Linked DNA regions of Danio rerio. The protein of the gene in region 1 purifies or fractionates together with the protein of each later gene. This does not show direct contact. Links are inferred from orthologs where the notes say so. Each region holds a gene or a part of one and is shown in the gene's direction. Other genes may lie near its edges.

Evidence for each region.
Region 2: the proteins of hdac12 (region 1) and gcfc2 purify together in Homo sapiens (co-immunoprecipitation; 3 studies listed by BioGRID and IntAct, counting the BioPlex papers as one, with this or other methods). This does not show direct contact. The link is inferred for Danio rerio from reciprocal best matches to the Homo sapiens genes HDAC11 and GCFC2.

What each region holds. Positions count from the first base shown.
Region 1 is NC_133190.1:36,319,202-36,322,054, forward strand, and holds the end of hdac12 (uncharacterized protein SYNPCC7002_A1628), read left to right. Parts: intron 1-1,516; coding exon 1,517-1,633; intron 1,634-1,714; coding exon 1,715-1,857; intron 1,858-2,106; coding exon 2,107-2,130; 3' UTR 2,131-2,353; downstream 2,354-2,853. UniProt on the Homo sapiens protein: Responsible for the deacetylation of lysine residues on the N-terminal part of the core histones (H2A, H2B, H3 and H4).
Region 2 is NC_133192.1:34,235,129-34,239,332, forward strand, and holds the start of gcfc2 (intron Large complex component GCFC2), read left to right. Parts: upstream 1-1,404; 5' UTR 1,405-1,455; coding exon 1,456-1,732; intron 1,733-2,178; coding exon 2,179-2,280; intron 2,281-3,913; coding exon 3,914-4,045; intron 4,046-4,204.

The sequences.
Region 1 (2,853 bases):
ACACCTACTGATTTGCTTTATCAATAGTGACAGGTAATACTTAAAGTATAAACGTCATGTCTGTTGTCCTAAGATGCATTAATTATGTCAGGTTTCCACTTTTTTCTTGTACTTGAATGTTTAAACGGCCCTCCTATGATTTGTCAGTCACTGAAATGGCCCCCCGCCTATTTAAATTTGAGACCCCTGTTCTACAAGATCTAAAACAGTCGCAAAAATTAGAACTTCTTTGGTAGAGAGAGAAAAAATAAATAAACAAATTGCCCTTAAAGCCACATAAACCTAGGTACAGTACTAGTGTTGGATAGGTTACTTAAAAAAATATTCATTATTGATTGCATCAAAAATATTATTTTAATTTCTTTTCTAATTCTTTTGTTTGAAAAGTAACTTATGCCGAGTTCAGACTGCATAATTTTTTAATAGGAAGAATTGCAGACAACTTCGTTCAAACTTCGTCTCACAGCCAAAAACACGTAATATATCTTTTGTTATTAACTACATAACAAAAAAGAAGCCTTTAATGGGGTAGAAAATGTACATATTTGCTCACCTGGGTTTGAAAGGAATTAGCAATTTCTCCTCAACTTTCTTTTCTAACTTTCTGTATGAAACGTCAAACCCGTGTGTGTGCTCCTGTCAAACCTCAACTAGTTTTTCCCTCCATTTCTTGGGTCCAAATAAACCGAAAATGATCGCTTTTAACTTCTCCCTCAACCTCCCGCTGGCCTGCAGGTACACACACACTAGTGAATGCTGCTTTCTCATTGGCTGTAGGCGATCGCCGATGTTATTTTCAGTCAAAACTCATTTCACACAGCATGATCTGAATCGCCGACAGCTCCAGATATTTAGCATGCCAAATATCTCACGGGCATCAGCGACTCATCGGAGATTCTCTCAGGTCGTATCTTTGATAGTTCATACTGTGTGATTGTCACTCAGGTGCACGAGCACCGATTTGCCTTTGATTTCAGGCATTTGTCAACGACTTCACAAAACCTGTCGGCGAGTCAAAATCGGGGCTAAAATCATGCAGTCTGAACTCGGCATTAGTATCACAATCGCCAGCGATCCAGGCTTGTAGATCGCAGGGAATTATACACCTTCACTTACAATCCCGTCACCATATGGACTACAATTCCTGTAATGTACCTCACACACAACTGTTCTGGTTTTCCGTTGATTACCCACACACACACACAGCTGCGGGAGCTGCTTATTGATTACAAGTTCTATTTATACGCCATGCACAAACACTTTTGGGCTTAGTCTTGTTCACTATTATTGTAGCATCACAAAGCGTTAATCCTGTCTAGTCATTCCGTGTTTGATCCTTGCCTGGTTTTCTGTTATTGCTTCTTTGCTGCCTGTAGTAAATCAAATCATGATTACTATTGGAATGTGAAGAGTCTTTCAACCAGCACAACAAAACATGTTACTGAAAACAATCACCTACTGCCCCTTTAAGAAAAACTCTTGATAAAATATACACCTATCTGTTGTATTATGCAAGTCCAGGAACATCTTCCTTGGCTACTGGAGTCTTTCAGGCCGGATCTGGTGTTGTATGATTCTGGTGTGGATCCGCACTGGGATGATGAACTAGGAAAGCTTCGACTCACTGATGAAGGTGAATTTGTTCATTCTGTAACACATCTAAAATCGCAAAATGCAACTGATTATTCAATGTTGTACTTTTTACTCAACGCAGGACTTTACCGGAGGGATCTCTATGTGCTTCACACAGTTGTTAAAAGCGGCATTCCTGTGGCCACTGTCATTGGAGGAGGCTATTCCAGAGATATTGATCGACTGGCACGCAGGCACTCAATAATTCACAGAGCTGCATTAAAGGTGAGCATGCAGAATCCACAATGAGGATAATGTGGGATTTCATGGAGCTGACAGGCTTGTTATTGCTTATTAGATTATTTACATATTTTTCCCCCTTTTTTAGTTAATCTTATTCTTTTATTATTATTTAAATCGGAACATATGACATGTATAAAACACACACTTTCTGTCCCTTTAAGTCACCTAAATGTAAAGTATTGCACTGTCTGAGGTTTATATGCTTTTAAAGGTTCATATCTTTGCTCTTAGGTTTGGAGGGAACATGGACTTTAACTCCAGGATGGAAATAAAATGAGATTCAACAATCATAGAAGAAAATATTCAGTTTAATTGTGTATGCATAAGTAAAATGTCGAGGATCTTTATATACTTGTAAATGGTTTCAGTAATTTAGATATGTAATTTATGTATATTCCCCCAATGAGGAACAAGGGAACGTTCTGCGGTTTCATTGCAATTGATTTTATGAATAAAAATGACAGATTTTTTCAAGAGATAATCTATGTTTTGCACCTCTAGTATTGTTTTAGCTTTTTAATATATAAAATATTAGCCTTATCTATATATATATATATATATATATATATATATATATATATATATATATATATTTAAAATTTTAATTTAAAATGTAATTCTAAAAGACAAGTCCAATTTATATATATATATATATATATATATATATATATATATATATATATATATATATATATATATATATATATATATAATATTATATTAAATATATATAATATATATTTTACATTTAAATTTTATTATTAAGTGATCAAATTAAATAATTAAACACTGTAAATAATTACCTATTTCTTTTAAAAGACATTAATTTTAGCTAGTGATCATACAGTTTTTTGTATATCTTTGTAGATAATAAAATAATTAAATTATTTTAATAACATAAAGAAAAATTGCCTTTCACTAAAAAGATATGCATTTGAACCAGCATGTCAGCTAAAACCTTGGTACTTTAGAAGATTT
Region 2 (4,204 bases), on another chromosome or scaffold:
AAAGAAAATAACTTGCGCTTCGAGGAGGATCTGTCATTTCTGGACCAGGAAAGAAGGAAGAGCTTGTGGCCCAAAGTAAAAGAGTCAAGGGCTGCCGGAAAAGTGGCATATTACATCGGGACACGTGCATTCATTGAAGGTGTAAAGGTTACTGTTTAAGCACTGAAATGACAACCTGACTGTTTCAAGTCATTACGGCTTTAGAGATTACCTTATTTTTCTGCTGGATTTATGACTAAGTGATTTAAGTTGGTTATTGGGCTCTGTTCATCTCAACACCTTTACATTTAGTCAGTTTTGACTTTTTGCCTTTGTTTGACCTCATAGTCAACAACTGTTCTTTGTCTTTTGTCACTTATATGTCGTTATCGTTCATTTCACTTAATGTCAGGGGTCTAAGAAACAATGCTATGCGCAAAACACTTTTTTTGTTTGGTAAAAACTATGGTTCGGACTGTTTTTTTAGGAGGATGCTAAATTCTGGAGATCTCAGTGGGGGGACTGATGTGGATGTCTCATGAGACAGAACGGTCAGCAGGTGTCGCTATTTTCAAAAACAAGTTTTGTGGGGAGATTTTGCATTCTGTTAGTGATGATGAGGGTCACTTTCTATTGCTTGTTATAGAATTACATATTATAAAGTGTAAATTTTTGGAAAAAGATTATTATTATTTAATTGACTATAAGTCATATAGGATATTTTGTCTTTAGTGGCTATAAAAACAAAAAGTCTTTTAAAAGTTAAAAATGGATTTCAATGTATAACCTTATATAATTTCCCCTCTGGTCTCTGATTTTTTATTGTTTTTTTTATTTACTTAATTTATGTTTTTTCCTTTTTTCACCTTCTTTAAAATGTGTTTTGCAGATTGTCACAACATGTCCGTCTTTTTCTAATGCTCCAATTTTCTCTAATATACTGTTAACTGTTTTTGAAAGCATTCATTCATTCAGTTTCTTTTCAGCTTAGTTTCTGCCTTTTTTATTCCGGGGTCGCCACAGCGGACTGAACTGCCAACTTATCCAGCATGTTTTACGCAGCGGATGCCCTTCCAGCTGTAACCCATCTTTGGGAAACACTCATTTACACTCACACTACGGACAATTTAGCCTACCCAATTCACCTGTACCGCATGTCTTTGGACAATGGGGGAAACCAGAGCACTCGGAGGAAACCCACGCGAACGCAGGGAGATGCAAAGATGCACCCATGCAAACTCCACACAGAAACGCCAACTGACCCGGCCGAGGCTCGAACCAGCGACCTTCTTGCTGTGAGGCGACAGCACTACCTAATGCGCCACTGTTTTTGAAAGCAATAAATAAACAAACAAACAAATAAATAAATAAATACATTCACACAGGACTTTTATTATGAAATGTTTTTCAACGACGACCAGGAAGTACAAAATACGTCATTTTAAAGCGTTGATTTCACTCAGCATTGGATTTATAATGTTTAATAAGAAGCCGCGCCGAAATTTCCGGCAAAGGAAAAATGAATCCAGTGATGAAGACGACAATGGAAAATTAGCTGCTGGTGAAGGTGGAAAAGATGCGGATTTAAAGGCAGATTTACCCTCAAAAGCAGGGATTTCAAGCAGTTCACGAGAAGCTCGAGAGTGTGACTCGAGTGAGGCAGAAGAGGAGGCTTCAGTTTCAGCACTCCAGACCAAAGACAGAAAACTGCACACAGACAGCAAAACACTCAGCTTCTCTGATGATAAAGACTGTAAGTATAAACACTATAGCCAGGTTTTTGATAAATGTATGTGTCTTAAAGCAAAACACTGCAGATGATCGGGGTAAAAATGTATCACAATTATTTATCAGTTGATTGATTACATTAAATGCATAATAAAATAATTAGTAATAATCTTAATTAGAAATAATAAAATATTTAGAAAAAAATATGAAAACCTATAATTGTAAACTTTCATAGTAGAAAAAAACAGCTGATGCTATAACTTAGAGGTCAGGTTTACAGCTTTCAAGATGTCTTATTTATATCTTATATCTCGTTTGGAACAATTAAATAGAGTAAATAATGATGGAATTTTCAACTTGGTGTGAAATGTAAATAAAAAGCCCAAAACCTCACGATATAGAGTTGCATGAATAAACAGTGTTTTGCCTACTACAGTGTCTCACATTAATGAAGAAATTTGACTCTTACAGCTACAGAGGGAGGTTTTCAAGTGAAACGTTCAGTCAACAGAGAAGTTTTGTTCCAAGCGCGGAAAAAAGAGGATTCTCCTGCACCTGCAACCAGTTCTCAAGGTGTGTGTTTTATTTTACATCAACTGTAATAACTACAGTGGGAAAAGTATTTATAGCGCTTTACTTTTTTCCACATTTCTTTATGTTACAGCCTTATTCCAAATAAATCTAATTAAATTCATTTATTTCCTCAAAATTCTACACACAATACCCCATCATGATGATGTTAAAAAAATATATTTTTTAATTGTTTCAAATTTATTACAAATAAAAAAGCAAAGAAATCATATGTACATAAGTTTTCACAGCCTTTGCTCAATACTTTGTTGATGCACCTTTGTTGATGGCAGCAATTACAGCCTCAAGTCTTTTTGAATATGATGCCACAAGCTTGGCACACCTTTGTTTAGGAAGTTTTGCCCATTCCTCTTTGCACTACTTCTCAAGCTTAGGTTAGATGGGAAGTGTACAGCCATTTTCAACAGTGTACAGCCATTTTCAGATCCCTACAGAGATAGGAGGATCAATAGGATTTGGGTCTGGACTCGAAGCCTGCTTGAAGATGAACCGTCGCCCCAGTCTGAGGTCAAGAGCACTCTGAAGCAAGTTTTCATTCAGGATGTCTCTGTACATTGCTGCATTCATCTTTCCCTCTATCCTGACTAGTCTTCCAGTTCCTGCTGCTGAGAAACATCCCCACAGCATGATGCTGCCACCACCATGCTTTACTGTAGGGATGGTATTAGCTTGGTGATGAGCGGTGCCTGGTTTTCTCCAAACGTAACGCCTGGCATTCATTCCAAAGTGTTCAATTTTTGTCTCATCAGACCAGAGAATTTATTTTATTATGGTCTGAGAGTCCTTCAGATGCCTTTTGGCAAATTCCGGGTGGGTAGTGGTTTCTGTCTGGCCACTCTACCATACAGGCCTGATTTATGGATTGCTGCACAGATGGTTGTCCTTCTGTAAGGTTCTCCTTACTTCATAGAAGAACGCTGTAGCTCAGACAGAGTGACCATCGGGTTTTTGATCACCTCCCCGACTAAGGCCCTTCTCCCCGATCACTGAGCTTAGATGGCCGGCCAGCTGTAGGAAGAGTCTTGGTGGATCCAAACATCTTCCACTTACGGATGATGGAGGCCACTGTGCTCATTGGAACTTTCAGAGCAGCAGAAATGTTTCTGTAACCTTCTCCAGGCTTATGCCTTGAGACAGTCCTGTCTCTGAGGTCTACAGACAATTTCTTTGTCTTCATGCTTGGTTTGTGCTTTGACATGCACTGTCAACCCTGGGACCTTATATAGACATGTGTATGCCTTTTCAAATCATGGCTAATCAACTGAATTTACCACAGATGAACTACAATGAAGTTGTGGAAACATCTCAAGAATGATCAGTGAAAACAGAATGGACCCGAGCTCAATTTAGATATGTGAATACTGATGCACTTGTGTGTTTTTTTTTTTCTTTTTTTTTTTTTTTTTTTTTTTTTTATAAATTTGCAAAAATTTCAACAAATCTTTTTCACATTGTCATTATGGGGTATTGTGTGTAGAATTTTAAGGAATAAATTAATTGAATCCATTTTGAAATAAGACTGTAACATATAAAATGTGGAAAAAGTGAAGCTCTATGAATCCTTTCCGGATGTATTGTACATAGTTCTGTACATTGATTCTTCATATGTTTTCAGGAAAGAAGAGTAAGGATGTCAGTCTCTCTGACAGTGATTCTGATGCATCAGCTGAAGACATTCCTCCTGACAGTGATGAAGAAACCTGTTCTACCATGTCAAGTTCCTCCGCTTCTTCACTACCACAACGAGGTAACTAAATCTAAAGACTAAAAATGAACCTACATAATTTTCCCTCTAATACTATAACCACAACTTTTCATTTTTATTTAAATAAATCTAATAAATATTAGATTTGGTTTCGACATTTGTTGTTTTTATTATCATCATTTCTGTCTTACACTTTGAGAC